Linked DNA regions of Stegostoma tigrinum. The protein of the gene in region 1 interacts with the protein of each later gene in a pairwise test. Links are inferred from orthologs where the notes say so. Each region holds a gene or a part of one and is shown in the gene's direction. Other genes may lie near its edges.

Region 1 (7,775 bases):
GCATGCACACAATTCTTTGTTTTATTCATCTCAAATATTATTGCCAGAATGCTGCCAGAATCCACAGCCTTTGCAGTACCCAGTGTATTCATTTATTTCTTAATATCACATGGCATCAGTTGATGACTGGCATCTGTTCTCTGCAGAAAAGCAAAGCACTGGACATGCAGGAAATCTGCAATTAAAGCAAAAATTGCTGGGGAAACTCAGTACATCCAAAGAGTTATTTCAGTACTGTTTCTCTTTCCACTGATGCTGCCAAACTTCCCAAGTTTCTCCAGTACTTTGTATTTCTGTACTCTGCTTTATTAGCCTTTCACTCCAAGAGCCAGACATATCTTTCTTAGACCAGATATATGTTGTTCAGTGATTTAACCACAAGCACAAAGCCTGGGGAATTAAAGAATAAATCATCTAGGTTGCTTTGCATGTGATGAAAAATAACCATCTAATAGCAGTTCAGCTGTAGGTATACTATTCTTTCAGTGTTACTAGTATTGACAAAGGCACAAAATTAGGTATTGTAACTACTTTTTCTAAGGTCAAAGGATAGCTTCTGACAAAACTGAAAAATGCAGTTTTGTAACAATACCGTTGGTCAGCTGAACACTAGAGTAGAAAATCTCTGTAACTCATTCATGGTCACAATGTAAAATTAAAATTAAATTTCTGAGATACGGAATACCTTAGGGCAAAACAATATCTAACAGAAAATTGTGTTCCTTAAAACATAATTTCCACATTCTCTGAACTGCTTAACTACTTCGTCGAAATTAGAAATTATAGTTTCTATTGAACGGCAAATGCCAGACTAATCTGAGATTTGGCAATACGATATTGTCACTGAACAGGTGGAAAGGGAAGCATCATATATTATCCAAGATGAAAATTGGCTGACTTATTTTCCATTCCATGCCTTTTCGGGTACCTAATGTTTCCCGCGATACTGAAGGGTACAGATATGCAAAGACTTTATGATTTTGAATTGCTGCAAAATCCGATTAAAGAGGGATAATACTGAAATCTTTGCGGATTGCAACAAATGGAATGGTATTTAAATTGAATGAACTAAGATCTGCAGAAAATGTAACATTTAATAGGTTAGAGAGCCTTGGGCGCATCGGGTTCCACATTTATCTTTACTCTCTCAACAGATCAGTATTAGCCATACTAAGTCTTGTAAGTGCGGGTAAAATGACAAATAATTACACTTACATCCAATCATTAAAACGATATTGAGTTTCTTCATACGTACAACATTTATTAAACGACCAAAGCAAAGCGAACAAAGCAAACTGAAACCTTTCTGCCCAGCCAAGCTCGGCAGCCAACGATGCGTCCAGTATAACATTTTAGTTACTGTAAAAACAAGTGTTCCGGTAATAGCACAAATCAAAACCCAGAGCGGAAAGTAATTAACTGGTTTAAAATCAGTTCAACCTCTTGCGTTTAAGCGAGGCTTTCCCTCACACAATTCTTCGCTGGGTCTCACTTCATCTAAAAATCCAAACGGACGAAATTTGTGCTGCAAACATTGACAGCTTATCCCATCCGCTTATCTGCTGAAATAACTGCCTTCCAAGAGGAAGCTTTAGATCAATTCCCATAGAAACGGACTTGATCAAAACCCCATCCTGTTTCACAAGAGATAACACTGTAGCGAATACACCCAGATGAGATCTAAAGACGAGTATTTAAATACTGAACTGATTCTTCTCACTCAAAAGATTTCAGATCGGGCAAGCAAACCATACATAGCACATACAATCTGCCAGACTAAAAGTTTTATTCACTATCACCGTTTGGAATATAAACCAGCAGTTTGTCCGAAAAATTCCAAACACGCATATTAACAGTAGAAACGGGGTGGAAGATGAGATTCAGGAAAAGACAGATGCTGTCGCAGAAAAAGCTACTCTTCAGACACACCTGTCAGATCAATCAAATTTACTGTACAAATATAAAATAAAAATAAGTGACGGATGCAACAGCAACAAGTCTACTGACTTGTTCAAGATGAGAGGCGATCGACACTTTTTCAGTCCAACGACTGCTGTGGGATACGTGGAGCAGGCGAGCCGATGTCTGGAAGACATCAGGGTGGGTACCACCTATTTTGTGCCCCAGGCCTCTCCACCCCAACCACCCGCCCCCGAACACACCCCTTAGCAACACTCACCTCTGACACAAAGTAGAGACATAGTGCGACAAAGTCCTCCTCGACGCCTAACACCCAGACTGAAAACAAAACAGGGTTTGCTTTTATTGATGGAGTGGAAGCACTCGCAGTCCGCCCATCATTGCCCGTACCATTTCGAAGTAACTGTGAATTTGTCGGCGCGATGGATGACAGCTCATCGCCATGTTGACGAGCCTCTTGATTCCACAAGCGGAAATAGAGGGGCGGGGAAAGGGACGCCTCAACCTATGGGGTAGCGCCCTGTCCGAGAAGTCAGCCAATGGGAAAGAGATGAGGGCGGTGATTGGGCGGGGCTGCCGCCGCCGGTCGGCGCGTGATGGGCTCTTTGTCAGGTGAGTGACGTCAATTGGAACTCAGCGCCGCTCCTGTGGCCAACGTTTCGTGTTTCAGGTAAATGTTCAGCCCCTTCTTCATTTCCGGACACCATATCCTGCAAAGCTTGGCACTCAATTTCTCAAGCATTTGCAGGAACTAACTAAACTGCACGACAATGCAACTAAACCTGAGTTGGTCTTTTTCTGGCTGGTAGGATCAACAGTACAAGGAGACATCCAGGGTTTTAAAATGTAGACAACTTGTCGCGGTTTACCTTGAATTATGCAATTGGTATTTTTCATTTTTTGAGGGACTGACCGCTTCCAGCTTTCGATAATTTGGCTGGGGTGGAAATCCTCTTTCTGTTCTGCGAAATCAAAATAAATTAATATACATAACTGGATCGTTAGTTATTCGGAGTAGAATAGTCAATCACTGTTACTTACGAAAGGGTATTTTTTGTATTGACCTATAATCAAATGAATCAGAAACGGATTTTTCGCATATTACAAAATTTAATTTAGATAATTGAGTTAGAAATAATCAAAGTAATCAGAGTTACTGATAATAATCTCCTGTAGAAACCCCTCCATCCTCCAGCAAATAAACTCAAGGCTCATCGAGATGTCAAGTGCACATATGGTATTACGAATAAAAACCTGCTGTGACACCAACTTTGTCAGTGGAATATATATTAAAGGTCAGCTTCCCATCCTATTTTCTTTAAAAACACAATGCTTTGAAAACAAGTGTATAAATACTTAAAATTCTCGGACGCTTCTAATAACCATTAATGGATTACAGATTCGTCTTTGGGATTAAACAGAAATTAGCTATAAACACATGGCGATGAAAGGTCAGCGACCTGAATAGATAAATCTGGCAATTTCTTCGCAGATGCTGCCTGATTTTCAGAATATTTTTAACGTTATTTCACATTTCCACCATCCGCAGCACCTTTCTGTTGCTGTAGCCATTAATGTTGCACCACCTCACAAAGCCTTTAAAAAAACAGAAAGCGCAATACTTTTCTATAAACCTATTCATAAAGTAGCCACAAAATTAGTTGGACTACGGTGAAAATATGTGTGGGTAATAAATGCTCTTGCGATCTGCTTTTTAATTCCAATTTTTGACCGAATGTAAGTGATGCTTATAGACAAGGATTTACCAAAAAGTTACATCCGACTGCTGCTTTATTGGTGTGATTGAGGTTTGGCATTTAATGCTTTCGATAGTTCCTAATAGATATTTTTAAGCAACCTGTACAGTCATGTTCATGACACATCTTGGGAACAGGTGTAGGACTTGAATCCAGGACTTCCGGCCCATAAGAAGGGGCACTGCCACTGCACCATAAAGCCTCTGAGTGGTTCATTGTACTTCAGCTGTTTTTATGCATTTCATACTATTGCTGAATGGCTGAGATTATAGGTAAAATGAATAAGGCCTAATTGGCAGGTACTCAGTACAGTATTCGTATTATTCAGTTTATGATCTTTTATTGTTATTATCCACATACATGTTAGTACTTGAAGACGTAGATTTATCGCCCGCTTTACTGTAATTTAGCTGTTCCCGTCGATTGAGGGAGAATGAGCATTTATTAGCATATTTACTCCTTAGTAGATAACGATTATCATTCAAACGAACTATCTTTGGTTAACATGGATTGTAGGTTCGATAATTATACAGTTAAGATAAATAACGTTTTCAATCATTTGCATGCATCTACGTGCGCGTTTTATTACCGATGTTATAGCCTCTGCCTGTCAGAAATGGTGGACGCCATTTGACGAAACATTCTGAAATAAAACTCTGAACGTTAATACGGTGAGTAGCAGTTTTTATCCACAAACACGGTTTAAAAAAGTGGTTTCTCAAAGATCGCCTGATTTCTTTCTCATTATTCTGTATAATTTTAGAATTAATTCCGTGGACCATGTAATCTACGGTCGGTTTCTTGTTATATTTAACAGGTAAAATGGAAACGGTAACATTTCAGTGTGTCTTCAGAAATATGCAGATAATATCTTTTTTTAAAAATCTGAATTGGTTTGAAATTCAGAATGACGTTAATAAGCCTCGTCAATCACATTGTAAGCTTCATGTAGAACCGAGCTGTACAGCGCGACGGTCCTTACATTACGGTGGGAACTCAACTAAGATGCTCATTTTTCCAGACTTGCCTTTCAAAAGGCTGCTCTGTTATTTTCACACAGAAATACTGATTGCAGCAGTACTTATTTATTTGAAACCCACTCATAACAAATTTCAGAGTATTTACACCACACTGAAGTTTGTGTGTACATTAGATGGAATATAGTGCCACCTGCTGCACATAGTAGTTGCGTGTTATTCATCTCAAACATTAAACTTTGTTTTTAAGATGTGATTCCCCGGAACTCCTTCACGACACGTAGGGAAATAATGGGACCTGTTATGCTTTTTGCGACCACCGCCGATATTGCAAAAAACATTGTCATAGTTGTGCTGGAATTGGGCCAGGAATGTTGTTAGGACCCCCAACCTTTGCTGCATGTGTTCATCGTAGTTATTTGTTCCTTAATACTGGGTGTAATGATTTGATTGGACACTTCATCTACATTGCTCGAGACCACGACAGAAAGCACCGTGGTGGAATATGTTTGCATGCACACGGGCTTGCTGCACTCACACCATGGTTGCGGATGATGTTCATAGAGCCTCCTCCTCCTGTTAGCTTTTACTGTTCTTGACTGGATGTAACAGGACAACAAAGTGACTTATTCTGTCGTGAGGAGTAGTGATTTAACTAAATCAGGTTCTACTTGCCCCAAAAAAGAAAATTTGGCCTAAAAGAAGTTAAAGCAATAGAGTAAAAATGGAATAAAGCAATTGCTAAAGGTGTAATAAAATCTCGGGAACCGAAAGAGCTTGGGAAGCTCCTCTGAATGTGCTTCACACAGAAGAAAAAATGCCCAGGCATTTCCACCATTGAGAATACACATGCTGTGGATAACATAGGGCGAGAGTGTCTAATTGGTTTAAGGTTGCAGTGGGATAAGAAGTAGGCCTAATATCTGATTATAGCATCACATACAGAATTGAGACCTACCAACAATACTCAAAATGCTGCAAGTTTGAAAGAAAAACAATAAATGCAGGAAATACGCAGCAGGTCAGACAGCCACTGTGGAGTGAGAAATAAGAACGAATGTTTCAAATCTTTCATCAAACTTGGGAAAAGTTAGCGATGTAATATGATTTGAACAAGACATTGGTAGGCAAGGGAAGGTCTCTTGTTGAGTGGAAGACAGGAGAGGTTGAATAATAAGTGTTGATCTTGCACGTTCAAAGAGAGCAAGACAATAGAGCAGGGAAAGAAACAAAGATATGTCGGTAGCTGACATTCTACTGTCTGAAAGCCAAAATTAGAAAAACATTGAAGTAAACAAAATGATACAACAGAGCTTACCATCTAAAATAATTGAATTCCGACAAAGCCTATAAATTGGTTAATGAAAACTGAAGTGCTGTTTCTCAACCTTGCATGAATCTTCTCTGATCCAGTGCAGTGGAACAATGACACAGATGTCAGTGTAAGAGCAAGGTGCAGAATTGAAATGACAGACCACAGGAGGCTTGAGGACTTGTTCAAGAGGTGTTCCACAAAGTGGTCACCTAATCTGTATTTGGTCACTCCACCATAGAGGAGACTATGTGAGGAACAGACAAGGCATTATGGTAAATTGAAAGAAGGAAACATAAATTCCTGTTTGACCTGAAGGAGTCCTGGGGCAATGGACAGTTAGCAAAGTAAAGGTGAATTGACATGTATTGCATCTCCTGTCTTTACATAAAAATGTGCCCCAGGAAAAGGATGGCTGTGTGACTGAGGAGTAAAACAGAGTGTCATGGAAGGAGCATTCCTTTTGGACTGCTGAAAGGGGAAGGAAGTGAAAGACATTTTTTAGTTGCCTCACATGGTAGGTAGTGGAATTGGTGGAAAATAATTATTTTAATACAGAGGTAGGAATATTTGGAAAATGGATGGAAGGTGAGGAGTCAGGGTTCTGGGAGGGAACAGAAGGATTGAAACCTGAAATAAAAGACCCTGTCAACCAGGCTGAGAGGGATCCTCTGTTGAGACAAAACAAAGACATCTCAGAAATACTAGATTGGAAGACATCATCAGATGTGATGGATACGGAGGAACTGGGAGAATGAAATAGAATCCTGACAGGATCTAGGTACAAAGATGTGTAGTTGAGATGACCATGGAGGTCAGTGGACTTCTAATATATGTTCATTGCCAACATATTACCAGAAATGGAGAAAGAGAAGCTATGGAAAGAGTAAGAGATGAAATTGAAAGAAGGGAGGAAATTCATGAAATTCTGATGATGTCAACAAGTTGAAAGATTAACTAATTTTCTCTGTCCAAAGACACTCTCTGACCTGTTTATTGTCTCCAACATTTTCTGTTTTTTGAACAAGATCATGACAGATCTGGATAAGGTACACAAGGAAAATCTATTCCTTTTTGTTGATGATTGCACAAGGATGAGAAGAAACAGATAAAGGTTTGTGGAAATAGGTGCAGAAATATACAAGCAGCGGTACAGGAGATTATCTTGTAGGAGGATTGATTGGATTGCTCTGCAGATAGCCAGCATAGACTTGATATGCCTTTTGCCTCTTTCTGCAAATTACCCAATGACCATTAAAACCATAAACAGCCTTACACTCCTGCTGATCTTTAGAAAATCTTTAATTCTAACTGGCCAATTACTGACACCTAGATCCTACTTAAATCTCCTACCTCTTCTGAATGCCCCACTTAAATGCACATTTTCCAATTGAAAATCTTTCCAAAAGGAATACAACTCAGCAAAACCCACTGCATCTCTCTCCTGACCTTCTTTGCAAAAGTAAATTCCAGAAGGAGATGTGTCTTCACCAGTGCAGCCTCTTTGAGGGCAGTGTGTGGTAAACAGAGACCAGGATGCATGAAAGAACGGGCATTTCCCTCTCACCACCAGCTAAACTATGCGCTGGTGCTGGTTGGAAAGTTCTGGCGATGAAGCATTCTGCCAAATGACTTTGACTGTCTGCTCAGAGAACCATAGGACAGGATCAACTTTCTCCTGTTCCCACAGGGTCTCAAAGACATTACATGCTGACCACTTCCTGATGGGCCTGTTGTCAAAAGTATTTTTCTTCACAAACTTTTCCACAAAGGACAGGTAATGCAGAACAGTCCTACTACTTGGAGTTC
Region 2 (7,955 bases), on another chromosome or scaffold:
CTTCAACTGATGCATGAAGGATCTTGTGAAGACTTTTGACCCTGCCTACACCCAGCATATAGATCATGATTGTCAACAAGGCGCTTGACAAGATGTACACTGCTTAGTAAGGTTAGATCACATGGAATCCAGGGAGAACTACCACTTGGATGCAAAATTGGCTTAAACGTAGGAGACAGAGGGTGGTGGGGGCAATGGACTGTAACCAGCGATAGGGTGCCGGAGGGTCAGTGCTCAGTCCACTGCTTTATGTCACTTATATAAATGATTTAGATGCAATTAGAGGAGGAATGGTTAGTAAATTTATAGATTACACCAAAATTGGTGGTGTAGTGAACAGTAAAGAAAGTTATCTCAGAAATTATTGGGGAGGCAATGGCCTAGCGGTATTATCACTGGACTGTTAATCTAGAGACCGAGGTAACATTCCAGGGATCTGGATTCAAATCCCACCGTGGCAGATGACGGAATTTGAATTCAATAAATATCTGGATGATGACCATTGCTGATTGTCAGAAAATCCCATCTGGTTCACTAATGCCATTTAGGGAAGGAAACTGGCATCCTTACCTGGTCTACCCTATGTGTGACCCCAGACCCACAGCATCAGGGTTAATTCTTAACTGCCCTCTGGGCAATTAGTGATGGGCAATAAGTGCTGCTCTGGCCAGTGATGCCTTCATCCCGTGAACGAATAAAGGAATACAACAGGACCTTGTTCAGATGGGCCAGGGAGTGGCAGATGGAGTTGAGTTTAGATAAATGTGAGGTGTTGCATTTTCAAAAGGCAAATCAGGACAGGACTTGTGTACTTAATGGGGAGTATTGCTGAACAAAAAGCCCTTTGGGTGCATGTTCATAGTTCCTTGAATATGGAGTTGTAGGTAGATAGGATAGTGAAGGCGGCATTTGGTACACTAGCCTTTATTGGCCAGTGCATGGAGGACAGGAGTTGAGAAGTCATGCTGTAGAGGTCTTGAATATAAAAGCAGGGATGTACTGCTGGGGCTTTGGAAGGCACTGGTCAGGCCACATTGGAGTATGGTGTGCGGTTTTGGGCCTCATATCTCGAGAAGGATGTACTGGCCCAGGAGCGGGTTCAGAGGAGGTTCACGAGAATGGTCACAGGAATGGAAAGCTTAAAATACGAGGAATGTTTGAGGACTCAGAGTATACTCATTGGAGTTTGGAAGGCTGGGGGCAATTAATTGAACTTTCAGAATACTTTATGGCCTGGACAAAGGGGATGTTGGGAAGATGCTTCCATTGATTGGACAGCCTAGGACCCAAGGGCACAACCTTAGAGTAAAAGGGAAGACCTATTAGAGCAGAGATAAGGAGAAACTACTTTAGCTAGAGATTGGTGAATCAATGGAATTCACTGCCAAAGCAGGCTGTGGAGGCCAGGTCATTGAGTACATTTAAGATTGAGATAGATACGTTCTTGATTATCAAGGGCTACGGGGAGAAACCAGTAGAATGGGGCTGAGGAACTTATCAGCCATGATTGAATGGCAGAACAGACTTGAAGGGCCGAACAGCCTAATTTCTGCTCCTCTGTCTTATGGTCTTATACAGGACATTAGTTAGGCCACTGTTGGAATACTGCACTCAATTCTGGTCTCCCTGCTGTAGGAAAAAAAGTGTTGTTAAACTTGAAAGGGTGCAGTAAAGATTACAAGGATGTTGCTGGGGTTGGAGAGCTTCAGTTGTAGGAAGAGGTTAAATAGGCTAAGGCTATTTTCCACGGAGTGTCAGAGACACATTTAAAAGGCATCTGGATGTGTACACGAATAGGAACGGTTTAAGAGAGACATGGGCCAAATGCTGGCAAATAAGTCTAGGTTAATTTTGGAAATCTGTTCAGCACCGATGAGTTGGACCAAAGGGCCTATTTTCGTGCTGTACGATTCTACGACCCGTTAGAGAGGGCAGCACTCAATCTTTTGGCTGAGACATTGAACCTGGATCCCTATCTGCCCTCTCACGTAGATATAAAGTACCCCCCTGCACATTCTTTTACATTCAAGCCAATACTGACTATACAAACAGCACCACAAAAATAGATGATCTAGAAAACTGGTCACTATCACGTTGTTGATTTAGACCTTGCGGTACATAAATTGGCTGTTCCGTTATTTGCTTTGCAACATTGACTACATTTCAGAAGTACCTGCCGAAAATGAGAAAGGCACTACAGAAAGGTAAGCGTGAGGAGGCTAGAATTCTCTTTGCTGCTGCTGCTGCTTCTTCTATGGCAACCTAGAACAGAATTTGTGTTAAAGCGTTCAGAGCTCGATCACTGCAACTTCCTCACAGGAAGCAACGGCTTCCGCAGCAATTGAACCTCAAGGGTGACAGGGCCAGGTCCCGGGGGAGCCCGTACCTGCAACACCCAGCGAGGGACACGGGCTGGAGGGAGGTGCGGAAGGAGCAATGGAACCCGAGGGCAGAGCACGGCCCCGAACAGCCCTATCCCAGAACAGTATCCTCCCTCTTACCCTCTAATGGGGTAATTGTTCCCTTCCCTGATACTCACCGCCCGGCCCGGAAGCCGCGGTGCCGTGTTCTTATACTTCGAGCTTCGGAAGCGGTTCATTGCTCCCGCTCTAACAGCGACTAGACAAACGATTGCTCCACCTGTCCGAATAGCCGGGAACGACTGGAACAGCCACACAGGGGAGGGGAGGGGTGGGACCGGGCCACGCCTTGCACATCCCCGCAGCCAGCGCGCCCGTCCACCAGACAATCAGAGGCACCGCCCACTGCTGCAATGTTAGATTGAAGAGGTAAATCTCCACAATCGTACAGCATCACTGTCTCACAAAACAAGAGTTACGACTGCCGGTGGGTTTAACATGATACTTCAGGCGAGGTGATAGCCTGAGGATGAGAATCCTTCGTGTTAACTTCTACCAGCGCAGAAACTGAACCCACACTGTCGGGATCACTGTGCATTACGGACCAGCTGTCCAGCCAAAATAGCACCTCCTCCACAGGAGAGAGTGACACGGCTCACAAGAGCAAGCCAGCAATTAGTGGAGTAAATGGGAATAGCCTGAGGTCAACGCTCATTCACAAACATTCACTTCTTCCTCCACCACCAATGTTCAGATGCAGCAGTGTCTACTAGCGACAAGATGCACTGCAGAAATTCACCACGAGTGAATAAAGAAAGTGCATAAAGTGGAGGATTCTTGAGACAATGGGTGGAACCTAGGAATTACATGGGGAAATTCTTAATAGGTAAGTGCCTATAGACATATGAATCTCTACAGTATGGAAAGAGGCCATTCAGCCTGTCAAGTTCTGCACTAACCTTCCAAAGAGCAGCCGACCCAATCCCCATAATCTACATTTACCAAGGCCAAGCCACCTAATCTGTAAATCTTTGGACTGTAGGAGGAAACGGCAGTACCTAGAGGATACTGACACAGACACAGGGAGAATGTGTAAACAAAACTTGTTGCCCAACTAGTTGCCAAAACTAGGATCAAACCCAGGCCCCAGACACAATGAGGCAGGAGTGCTAAACCACTGTGCCACCGTGTCATGCACAGATGGAGTGTGGGCCTCAATTGGTGGGAGCAAGAACAAAAGAACACTGCACAACTCATTTACAGGACAGTTTTAAATCTTGCCTGCAAACATCTGATATGTTGTGTCAACAATGATTTGTGTTTATATATCACCACTAAATGTAGTAAAATGTCTGATGAGTATTATTAGAGTGTTCTGAGGTATCTTAACAGTTACAATACTCACTTATTCAGTACTCCATTGGATTATGAGTTTAGATATCTGGAACAGGATTTGAACTTTCTAACTATGAAGTAAGATTGATACAATGGAGAAGTCTCTGCAAGTCCCCAGCTACTCGTTGTTCCTTGTAGAAGACTTTGCCGACCAGTAAAAGCCATGAAATCCATTGTCTAGGTGCTGTCAACTACAGGTCCTGTCAGCAAGACTTCATAGCAGCAAGTAGGTAAGCAAAACTATATTCACAATGAAATCTCTATAGAATGTATGGTATGATCACTCGCTTTACTGTTTGCAGTTTCCAAAATCCTTTGTTAGATTTTGGAGTAGCAATTTTTGCCTCATTCCATGCCAGAGAGCACCGAAGTTTCCACAAGCAGGAGCTCCTACTGATTAACAACTGCATCCTTGTAAGGTTTAAATCTGGAGCCTCCAGTACATTGGTAGTGCCTGTACCTTTGGGCTAGATACCAAATCCCACTTTCCCCAGTTATGTTTTTGAACAGGTTGATTGAAAGTAATTAATGTTTGAATCTGTGGGCCTTGCCTTAAGTTAAAAAGGAAGTCAGAACCCTCATTCCTCCCTGATGATAAAACGAGACAAAACAAAATTCGACTTGTATGAGTCAAAATAAGCTGAGGACAAATGCCAACAGAGCAAGACATAAAAAGGTACAGTATCTAAGTTAAATCAAGGAAACACACCAGCAGCTTTCTTTAAGGGAAATTGTTTAAATAATAAATACATGTACAAGAAATCAGCCTAAAGCTATCCACCTAAGTCTCTGAATAAGCACAGAATCAATGGTGCAAGAGGCTATTTCGCCCATCATGTTTGTACCGAGATAGTATCATTAAATCATTTTCACCGGGCTGGGAGGATAGACACCGTCTCAAATTAATGTCTCAGCAAAAAGATGACCTCTGTAGCAGTGCAGCAATACTTCCCTGGATGGGAGCATAGGCCTAACACATAACTGACGGTGGATGAACCTAACTCCAGGCTACGAGGCAACTAGGCTTGTTGCGCAGGCGCAATATGATTATGGGACGGTTGTGCGCATGTGCAGGACCGGAAAGGGTTGTTGGTCTGCGCAGGCGCTAAGATGGCGGCTGCACGGTGCTACCTTCGCTTGGTGTCGGTGACCTGGAACCCATTGGCTGGAGCCCGGCCTGGCACCGTGCGGATACTCGCCACTCGGGGTCTCCGTACTGCCTTTTGTCTGGGCCCTGGATTGTTATCGGCTGGTGGTCTGGGTCTCAGGTTCGGCCTGGAACTAAGATTGCGGCTGTCCGGTAAGGAAAGCGAGCAGGTTCGGCTGGCGTCGGCCTGGTAACTATTGCATGGCCTGTCTCGCCCCATGACAGAGAGGAAATTCAAGCGACCCCTGGAAGGGCAGTGTCAATGCTCCCCTCCACAATCAGGGCAGTGTCTGTACTCCCAGGCATTATCCCACTGGGGATAGATTGTCTGGTAAGGAAAGATTTGGACTTGCTTGCGATGAATCATGAGCATCAGATGTAGCTGTTGCCGTTAGTCAGAGGAGAAAACGATGTCACTTCTTGATGCAAGGACGAAAATGGTTTATAGTTTTTTTTTAAATGCGGGAGATTGTGGGTGTTTTTCCTAATTGTTCTTTTCCCTTTCATTTGCCTCAAGCTTGTTCACCAAATTCTCTAGGTGTTGCTGCATTTCATACAGCTTCTCCTTTAGCCAAAACTGATTATTATGAGGTGTTGGGGATCCCTCGCAACTCAACGCAAAGAGAGATAAAGAAAGCTTATTATCAGGTATGAGAAGCGAATGTCATTTAAACCAGACTTACAACTTAAGTTCCTGTATTTATACAAGTAATCAGTGGGAATTTTTTTTAATTGCACCAAGCCATCGACCAGAATAATTTTTCCAGCTCATCAAATTGAATTGTGTAATTGGAATCTTAGTCAAATTTAATTTACTTTAATGTCTTCCTCTCCCTCCTTGTCATGAAGGAGCTGAATTTGCTAGTCCACTTTCATGACATCAAGAGTTGCAAGTGGCCAATTTTAACTGATGAATCTGAATCTAGACAGTATCTACTGGGTCAAATTTGAATTCTCTCTTATAAATGAAGCCGCTTTTAAAATAATATGTCTGCGGTGGTGACTGTCTGGTGCAGATATGTCATGAAATTTGTCTGGGGTAGATAGGACTTGAACCTGAACCACTTCGGCAGAGGGGCACTATCACTGCAACACTGTCTGGTGTATACTTTAAACAAAAACATGGAAAAGAATTACATTGGGAAATTTGTCTTAATCAAACCTATTTTAATAGTTGGAGTACTTATCCCAGCAAAGCCTACAGGGGAAAGATTGGTTTCAGTTATAACTACTTGTAGCTTTGAATAAATCTTGTGTTCTTGCATATACAGCTTGCAAAGAAATACCACCCAGATACAAACAAAGATGATCCAAAGGCAAAGGAGAAATTTTCCCAAGTGGCAGAAGCATATGAGGTAATGAATGTATTGCAATGAAAGCCCCTAACTGTATTGCACAAGCTGTCTAGTCCGGAAGGGAGTTTCTGGGCTCCGAGTTGGCTGATCATGTGGGGAGGTGGACAGCAGATGTCAGCACAGCCACAGCATTTCCACTTTTCGTGGAGGGAAGAGAGGGGTTGAGAATTGTGTGTGTAGCTGGGAGTTGTGGGTGAAGGAACCAGTGTTCTATTCATGTGCCACTACCAGCACAACTGAATAGTTAGGTAATCTCTAAAGAACAACACCACAGTATGAATATTCTAACTTGAGGTAAAAAACTGTGAAAATTGTGTGACAATCAGTGTCTATTCTCAAACAGTAATACAGGATTCCTAGGGATCGTTATTCCTGAGTTTATTTGTTAATTGGTTTCCAGCTCTGATCGATATTAATTGTGCATTACAGGTTCTGAGTGATGAAGTGAAGCGGAAACAGTATGACTCTTATGGGAGAGTTGGATTTGATGCAGGAGGGTCAAGGAGTCAGGAATACTGGCATTCAGGGCCTTCAGTGGATCCAGAGGAGCTTTTCAGACGCATCTTTGGGGAATTTACTGGTTCTGGATTCAGAGATTTTAACACTGTCTTTGACCAGCACCAGGAGGTGAGTAAGCTAACTATTTGGCTATCCAGAAACCAGTGATACTGAAGATGGACAGTTCCTTGCATAGAAATAGGATTAGGCTATTCCATTCATCACACCTGTCTCACCATTCAATATAATCGTGGCTGATCAAACGCTTCATTGCCCACAAAATCCCCAAGAGACTGTTTCTCGGCTTCGCTTAAGGAAAGAAGTAATAGGAGCAGCAGTGAACCATTTGGCTCTGTGAGCCTGCTCTGTCATTTAGTCATAACTAACATTGTGCTTGACCTGTCTTTTCCAGAAGTTTCCCATGTTCCTTGATTTCCTGAGAAATCAAACATCTGTCTGTCTCTGATCTGATCTGATCTGACATCAAACATCTGATCTGTCACATCTGCCAATGTGGTATACTGCATCCACTGTACCCAGTGTGGCTTCCTCTACATTGGGGAAACCAAGCGGAGGCTTGGAGACCGCTTTGCAGAACACCTCCGCTCAGTTCGCAACAAACTACTGCATCTCCCAGTCGCAAACCATTTCCACTCCCCCTCCCATTCTTTAGATGACATGTCCATCATGGGCCTCCTGCAGTGCCACAATGATGCCACCCGAAGGTTGCAGGAACAGCAACTCATATTCCGCCTGGGAACCCTGCAGCCTAATGGTATCAATATGGACTTCACCAGTTTCAAAATCTCCCCTTCCCCAACTGAATCCCTAAACCAGCCCAGTTCGTCCCCTCCCCCCACTGCACCACACAACCAGCCCAGCTCTTCCCCTCCACCCACTGCATCCCAAAACCAGTCCAACCTGTCTCTGCCTCCCTAACCTGTTCTTCCTCTCACCCATCCCTTCCTCCCACCCCAAGCCGCACCCCCAACTACCTACTAACCTCATCCCACCTCCTTGACCTGTCCGTCTTCCCTGGACTGACCTATCCCCTCCCTACCTCCCCACCTATACTCTCTCCACCTATCTTCTTTTCTCTCCATCTTCGGTCCACCTCCCCCTCTCTCCCTATTTATTCCAGAACCCTCACCCCATCCCCCTCTCTGATGAAGGCTCTAGGCCTGAAACGTCAGCTTTTGT
Region 3 (8,192 bases), on another chromosome or scaffold:
CCCTCTACTTTGAGCAAGTCTGACTTAACATCACCTTATGTTGCTCAGTGCCAGTATTTTTTGTTTTGTAATGCTTCTGTGAGGCACTTAGGTCATCTAATAAAGTTAATGGTTTTGTACAAATAAGTTGTTGTTTCTCATTATGCTTTCACAATCCTTCCTTCATTATTATTGATTATCCTTTCCCTTAAACCCATCCCCACTTCCTTCTTCTAGTCTCACTGCAGCACCTCTCCTAATTTCTTTTGTTAATGAAGTGATTGTAAGCACTGTGTACGCCAAATAGGAACTCCCGTCTGCCGAAAAACTGCTGCCTCTAGTAAACAGTGGTCAGAATCACTTTAGCTGTGGTGTGGTTGAGGAATGCATCTGAGGGGAGGTGAATGTATTCTGCGTTAATTTTTGTCAAAACATACTGTCATGCAACTTGCTTCCAAATGTTGAATCCTGGTCCCAAATGTTGAGGGTTGGCAATTCACTGACTGCCTCTTGTCCTGTGGCTTGTACAGGTTGTGAGGGCTGGCCTGAGTCTTTTATTCCAACCTTATTCTGACAGTAACAGGTTCTGATCCCAGTATGTACATCAATTTTTCTTGGCATCAGTTACGTTTCTGGAGATTATTAAGCAGAAGGCTGAGAGGTGCTTGAGAGATGTCTATGTATTGTAGGCTGCCAGCTGTAGTCCAGCCAGCTTGGTTTTAAAAGAGCATTATGGGATCCTGGATAAAATATGGAAATAATGTAATATTTTGCGACAGGGACGTCATCAGTCAGCTGTTTCAAGGACGTGATTTATTCCTGATGAATTAATTTATCCAGTAATGTTCTTCCTTTAAAAAACTTTGAAGCTGCTGGTACAGAGATGTTTCAGAGCGTCAGTATTGTCCTATAGTTTGGAGTGAGCTGAGGAGCCCTTTCACAACTTAAGAGTAATCAAGTTTCCTGGGTCTGAGTGTGGATATTTCAAGGCACCTATTGGTCTTTTCTTGTAGCTTGTAAGAGGATTTTTGGCAAATTAGTATTTGCCTCTAGAGTACGTTAGTGAAAAAAAAACTGGTCTTTTGTAACATTTGGATTTTTACTAAACCAACATCCGATACTCAGGTTCACAAAGTCACCTGGCACTAAGTCAGAGATAATGGGAACTGCAGATGCTGGAGAATCCAAGATAATAAAGTGTGAAGCTGGATGAACACAGCAGGCCAAGCAGCATCTCAGGAGCACAAAAGCTGACGTTTCGGTCCTAGACTCTTCATCAGAGAGGGGGATGGGGTGAGGGTTCTGGGATAAATAGGGAGAGAGGGGAAGAAGGACCGAAGATGGAGAGAAAAGAAGATAGAAGATAGGTGGAGAGGAGAGTATAGGTGGGGAGGTAGGGAGGGGATAGGTCAGTCCAGGGCAGATGGACAGGTCAAGGAGGTGGGATGAGGTTAGTAGGTAGGAAATGGAGGTGCGGCTTGGGGTGGGAGGAAGGGATGGGTGAGAGGAAGAACAGGTTAGGGAGGCTGAGACAGGCTGGGCTGGTTTTGGGATGCAGTGGGGGGAGGGGAAGATCTGGGCTGGTTTTGGGATGCGGTGGGGAAGGGGAGATTTTGAAGCTGGTGAAGTCCACATTGATACCATTGGGCTGCAGGGTTCCCAAGCGGAATTTGAGTTGCTGTTCCTGCAACCTTCGGGTGGCATCATTGTGGCATTGCAGGAGGCCCATGATGGACATGTCATCTAAAGAATGGGAGGGGGAGTTGAAATGGTTCGCGACTGATAGGTGCAGTTGTTTATTGTGAACCGAGTGGAGGTGTTCTGCAAAGCGGTCCCCAAGCCTCCGCTTGGTTTCCCCAATGTAGAGGAAGCCACACCGGGTACAATGGATATCAGAGATAATGGGAACTGCAGATGTTTCCATATTAAGCAGAGGTTCACCTGCACATCTGCCAATGTGGTATACAGTATCCACTGTACCCGGTGTGGCTTCCTCTACATTGGGGAAACCAAACGGAGGCTTGGGGACCGCTTTGCAGAACACCTCCGCTCAGTTCGCAATAAACAACTGCACCTCCCAGTCGCGAACCATTTCAACTCTCCCTCCCATTCCTCAGACGACATGTCCATCATGGGCCTCCTGCAGTGCCACAATGATGCCACCCGAAGGTTGCAGGAACAGCAACTCATATTCCGCTTGGGAACCCTGCAGCCCAATGGTATCAATGTGGACTTCACCAGCTTCAAAATCTCCCCTCCCCCCACTGCATCCCAAAACCAGCCCAGACTGTCTCAGCCTCCCTAACCTGTTCTTCCTCTCACCCATCCCTTCCTCCCACCCCAAGCCGTACCTCCATTTCCTACCTACTAACCTCATCCCACCTCGTTGACCTGTCCGTCTTCCCTGGACTGACCTATCCCCTCCCTACCTCCCCACCTATACTCTCCGCTCCACCTATCTTCTCTTCTCTCCATCTTCGGTCCACTCCCCCTCTCTCCCTATTTATTCCAGAACCCTCACCCCATCCCGCTCTCTGATGAAGAGTCTAGGCCCGAAACGTCAGCTTTTGTGCTCCTGAGATGCTGCTGGGCCTGCTGTGTTCATCCAGCTTCACACTTTATTATCTTGGCACTAAATCAGTTTAGTTAGCACCCTTTCTCCATATTCCCATTCATGCTGAGAATCTACTATCCATTATTTCTGTTAGCACTCTCCCTTCCTACATCCTCTCAGTTACTGCAGACATTTAGTGGTGGCAGTGATGTACTGGTGATATAACAAGATTAAGGGGTATGCCATTTAGAACAGAGTTGAGGAAAAACTTCTTCACCCAGAGAGTGGTGGATATATGGAATGCTCTGGGCCAGAAGGCAGTGGAGGCCAGGTCTCTGCATACTTTCAAGAAAGAGATGGATAGAGCTCTTAAAGATAGTGGAATCAAGAGTTATAGGGATAAGGCAGGAACAGGATACTGATTGTGGATGATCAGCCATGATCATAATGAATGGTGGTGCTGGCTTGAAGGGCCGAATGGCCTACTCCTGCACCTATTGTTTATTGTCTATTAGTATAGCAATCCAGAGGCCCAGGCCCATATTCTGGAGTTACAGCAGCTGGTGGAATATAAATTAATAAGTTTGGAATATTAAAGAAAACTAGTTCCAGTTTTGTTGTCTCCATTACTATCACTATCATAAAAACCCATCTTGTTCTCTGATGTCCCACAGAAGAGAAAAATCAGTCAAACCTGCTTTGTCTGAGTGATACAAAATGACAGACCCACCGCAATGTTGTTGACTCATCTGCAGTCTGAATGGCCTAAGAATTAAGCCACTCAGTTCAACAGCAATTAGGGGTGAACAATAAATGCTAGTCTTATAAGCAACACCTGAAAACCATTAAGGAATGAAACAAATTCTCCTATTTCCTATATTACAAACTGCACTAATTCCAGCTGTCTTGATTTGGACTACAAATAGGTTGGATGGATTCAGAGATAACACAGAGTGGAGCTGGAGGAACACAGCTGGCCAGGCAGCATCAGAGGAGCAGGAAAGCTGAAGTTTCAGGTTGGGACCCTAATTCAGAAAATGAAGAAGGGTCCCGACCAGAAACGTCAGCTTTCCTGCTCCACTGAAGCTGCCTGGCCTGCTGTGTTCCTCCTACTCCACTGTGTGTTATCACTGACTCCAGCATCAGTAGTTCTTACTATCTTTGGATCAGATTTCTGATAGGTTCTATTAGCTCTGCTATTTTTCCAAACCTCTTTGTAACACTTTTTTAATTGCAATATTTACATTGCACTGAAATAAATTCAGTCACAGCTACTATAACGTATAGCCTTGGAACAGTGGCACAATGGTTAGCACTGCTGCCTCACAGTGCCAAGGGCCTGGGTTTGATCCCACTCTTGGGTGACTGTTTGTTTGGAGTTTGCATGTTCTGCCTGCGTTTCCTCTGGGTGCTCCAGTTTCTTCGCACAGTCCAAAGATGTGCAGGTTAGCTGGATTGGCCATACTAAACTGCCCATAGTGTCTTGGAATGTACAGGTTAGGTGGATTAGCCATGGTAAATGCAGAGTTAGAAGGATAGGGGTGAGTCTGGGTGAGATGCTCTTTGGAAGTTCAGTGTGGACTTGTTGGGTTGAATGGCCTGTTTCCAAACTGTAGGGATTCTATGAATACTTCAGGAAAATATGCTTAAAATTACCTCTCAAATTGAGGCACGGCTTCCAAACTGACAGTGGTTTCCTTTCCTCTTTCAAGCTGTGAAAAAGATAAGACATAGAAGCAGGAGTCGGCTATCCAGTCTGCCCACCATTCTTGGCTGATTGATAACCTTCAACTCCACTTTCCTGATGTGTTCGCATAACCCCTGATGGTCTTAGTGTTTTTTTTTATTAATCATTATCTCAGCCTGGAATATCCTAAATTACTCAGCCTCAAAAGTCCTCTGGATTCAGAGTTCCACTACATTTGAGAGAAGAATATTCCTTCTCAACCCTGTCTTAAATGAGCAGCCCCCTCATTTTGAGATGATGCCCTCCCACAAGGGAAAGCAACCTTAGTGCATCGACCCTGTCAGGTTCCTTAAGAATGTTATATGCTTCAATAAGGTCGCATATTATTCTTTTAAACTCCGATGGACACAGAGCCAACCTACTCTACTGGACTTCACAAAGCAGTCCATACCTGGTTAATATTTATCTCACTTATAAAGCAAACAATGGGCAAGTGGAAAAATAACATTTCCCTGAGAGAAATCTTGCCATTTATCTCCACGAAGGAACAACTATGAAAATGAAACAAATAGAACCTGTCTTCCTCCAAACACTGAGACTACCACAGGTAGAAGAGTACTGATGTTGGAAGTGCGCATGCGCTAGCGACCGGCGTGACCTACGCCGTGGGTGGACATGCGCACAGCCGTGAGCAGCGTTCTTTCGGGGAGGGGAGGGACTGCGCAGCCGCAAGGAATGACCCCCCCACCCCAAACACCAAGACAAAGGAGGGTGCTTCCCCGGGCGCGCATGCGGAGTGAGGTCACTGGGACGCGGTCGGCCGTTGGACGGGAACAGCGGCGCGCTATTTGAAAACAAGGGAGTCGTTGGCGAGCGGTGCGCGGGGTCGGATTACTGTCAGGCTAGTGCTGTCTTCGCTTGGGACTCTCACCACAGGTATGGTCTCTATCTCCTTCCCTCAGGTACAGCCCGAACGGTAGGAAAGAGCGCCCCACACGAAACAAGGCGGTCGTCCCCCCCCCCGGTCTGCGCTGCAGCTTCATAACGTCGTTCATGGCGGCGTCCCTCTTCCTGCCCGGGCGATGAGTCAGTGGCTGCAGGCCCTACACGCAACTCAGTCAACAAAAGGGCAGGCAGCAGCAGCAGCGGCAGCAGCAGCAACCGCCCCCTCTCCCCATCATCAGCCCACCCGGTGTGCCTGCTTTCCTCCGCAACCTCCCCCCCCCCCCCCCACCAACCCACCCAAATCCCCAGCCCACCGGGTGTTCTTCCCTACCCCCTTGTGCCCCATTCTGCACCCAACCTCTCCCTCCACATCCAGAAGAAGGTTAACTATTCACCCAGCTGGACTCTCTTGTGTGTTTGCCCGTTTGAGGTAGGGGTGTTCTCTTTTACTTGCTGTTTGAGTAAGGGTTGGGATGTTTTCATCGGCGATATGCTCCCCAACTTCTCTAGGTTAGAAAGAGTGTCTGTGGATTGGTATTGGTAATATAGGCTGAACGACGCCCCCCCTTCATTGCTGTGACATAGAGCCCTACAACATGGAAACGGACCAGTCCGTGCTGAATGTAATTTTTAAACTAAACCAGTCCCACCTGTCTGCTCCTGGCCCATATCCCTCTGAACTTTTCCTATTCAGCTACTTATCCAGTGTGTTTTAACTGTTGTAGATGTACTCATATTCACCACTTCCGCAAAGTTCATTGTGCATGAGAGGCACCCCCTGTTTTTAAAAAAAACAAAATTTGCCCTTTGTGTCTTTTTTTTAGAAGTCTCTGTCCTTTCACCTTAAGTATGCCCTCTAGATCATCTTGGTTCTATTGCCCTATGATACTGGTGGCTCTTCGTGGTTTGGTATTTTCCTTTGATCTGTCTGTGGGCCTGGCTATACACTTTGCTGACTCCTTAACAATTGGCCATGTTGCTTTAAGAGATTAAAAAGGTATGTGCATCTAGGTGGTAGTCTGTTTTTGTTTTGAAAATTTTGGAACCTGATTTTAAATTCTTACATGTGATGGGATTTGCATTATGTGGATTTAATAACCCACCAGTAGAAGAATACACGCTTGCTGAGCTATCGCATGGGTTGCTGTGGTGTTTACCCTATAGGGTGCTAATCTCTGGGTTGACTGATTTTTTTTTTGTTTAGTTTATTGCTGGATATATATTTCTAAGGATTATAGTTTTCAAAACTTTTTATGAATAGTAACTAGATGCAACTGGAGGTGATCTTCCACAGCAAGCAAATGTGGAAACAATTTGACAGCAAGAGGCCACATCCAAAAAACAGGGAAGTAAGTGATCTACAAAATAATTGAGTTTGACTATTCTGCCCTTGGGCAGTGGTTTTATTCAGCCTAAGATATAAAGAGGCACTTGAGCTGGTTCCCTGAATGTCTGTCTGTTTCTTACAGACCCTTGCCTGCTAGGTGACTCTATTGACAAATCTTGGGCATGCTGTCTGTGATTTCTTGAGCATTAAATTTTTCTAATGTGGAGAATTATGGGCAGCATGTCCTCAATTTTTGTGTAATATGCAATGGATTGTGTGCACTTGTAATGTTGGCTCTTGATCTATGAAAGATGTGCTTTATTTCTGTGATTTGCCACTCAGTATAACTTTACTTTATGTAATCAAAAGATTCTTTTATAGATGGGCTGAGGCTACTATAGAAGCTGCAGGGCAAATCAGAAAAATTAATCAATTTAAGACTCCTCCAGCAAAAAAAGCATGAAGTCGGTTTTCTGCACTTGTGTCTCTGGGTGACTGGGTTCATTAGCATGAGAGACTGATGTCTGATTCTAATGACGACCCATGGGTATCACTTCCTGCAGAGTAATAAATATGAGATTATGCATTTTTTTGTGCTGTTAGAAATTAAAGGAAATGTAATTTCCTATCTTGGTGGCATTCAAGTTTTTGCAGTTTGAGATTAATTGTCCTCTGGTTTAAATCCTTGTGAAATTTTATTCAAACAATTTTTACTGTTGACTTTACCAAATATCTATGTTGTATAGTCTGTGAATACAGTTATTATTGAATGAAGCTCCTTTACATACAAGTTCTTGATGTGCATAGTTTTATTTTCAATTTATTTTTGTTTTTATTAACCAACTTGTCAGTGAAGTTTTCAGTTATCTTTATGAAAACCTAGCTTACATATGGATAAAGGTAGCTTCAGAATCAATTTGTGCTTTTCAAATTTGCACATTCTGACATCTCTTTGTGGAATTTTGCACATTTGTCTCAGCAAGGAAATGCAATCTAGAGCCATGTGACTTGGACAAGGCAACCAAAAGTTTTGAAACGGTAGTAATGCATCCTGTACCTGTGAAGATACATTCTGCTTTTGAATTCAGATGGAGAAGCTCCCTGTTCTCTCTAATGATGAGAAATTGATTTGGGGTCATTATCTTTGATTATTATTAGTTTATATCTATTAAATTTTCTCTGAATTTACCGATAAGCATGTGAGCCATATGGACCATAAGAACATAAGAAATAGGAGCAGGAGTAGGTTATTCAGCCCTCGGCATTTGCTTCATCATTGTTTAAGATCGTGGCTGATCTTCCCCAAACTTCAACCCTCCTTTTGGTCAGCTCCTCGTAGCCACCCACTCTCCAATTTTTAAAAATCTATTTCCTCTTTAAATACTTTGTGATCTAGCCATCACAGCTCCCCGTAATAGTGAATGACCGGAATTCTACTTTTTCTGAGCAATGAAATTCCTTCACAGATAATAAAGTGCGAAGCTGGATGAACACAGCAGGCCAAGGAGCACAAAAGCTGACGTTTCGGGCCTAGACCCTTCATCAGAGAGGGGGATGGGGTGAGGGTTCTGGAATAAATAGGGGGAGGTGGACCGAAGATGGAGAGAAAAGAAGATAGGTGGAGAGGAGAATATAGGTAGGGAGGGGATAGGTCAGTCCAGGGAAGACGGACAGGTCAAGGAGGTGGGATGAGGTTAGTA

What was found.
Region 2: the proteins of atos homolog protein B (region 1) and dnaJ homolog subfamily A member 3, mitochondrial-like interact in binary tests that used the Homo sapiens proteins (3 or more experiments, as listed by UniProt). The link is inferred for Stegostoma tigrinum from reciprocal best matches to the Homo sapiens genes ATOSB and DNAJA3.
Region 3: the proteins of atos homolog protein B (region 1) and kif20a interact in binary tests that used the Homo sapiens proteins (3 or more experiments, as listed by UniProt). The two-hybrid records come from large-scale screens. The link is inferred for Stegostoma tigrinum from reciprocal best matches to the Homo sapiens genes ATOSB and KIF20A.

The regions. Positions count from the first base shown.
Region 1 is NC_081354.1:132,723,568-132,731,342, forward strand, and holds the start of atos homolog protein B, read left to right. Parts: upstream 1-4,280; 5' UTR 4,281-4,348; intron 4,349-7,775. Other genes in the region: protein unc-13 homolog B, read right to left, coding at 2,180-2,201. UniProt on the Homo sapiens protein: Transcription regulator that may syncronize transcriptional and translational programs.
Region 2 is NC_081376.1:32,396,400-32,404,354, reverse strand, and holds the start of dnaJ homolog subfamily A member 3, mitochondrial-like, read left to right. Parts: upstream 1-4,846; 5' UTR 4,847-4,865; coding exon 4,866-5,055; intron 5,056-5,419; coding exon 5,420-5,550; intron 5,551-6,173; coding exon 6,174-6,257; intron 6,258-6,686; coding exon 6,687-6,884; intron 6,885-7,955. Other genes in the region: coro7 (coronin-7), read right to left, coding at 2,540-2,599. UniProt on the Homo sapiens protein: Modulates apoptotic signal transduction or effector structures within the mitochondrial matrix. Affect cytochrome C release from the mitochondria and caspase 3 activation, but not caspase 8 activation.
Region 3 is NC_081366.1:76,636,735-76,644,926, reverse strand, and holds the start of kif20a (kinesin-like protein KIF20A), read left to right. Parts: upstream 1-4,977; 5' UTR 4,978-5,156; intron 5,157-5,520; exon of another isoform or gene 5,521-5,595; intron 5,596-8,192. UniProt on the Homo sapiens protein: Mitotic kinesin required for chromosome passenger complex (CPC)-mediated cytokinesis. Following phosphorylation by PLK1, involved in recruitment of PLK1 to the central spindle. Interacts with guanosine triphosphate (GTP)-bound forms of RAB6A and RAB6B.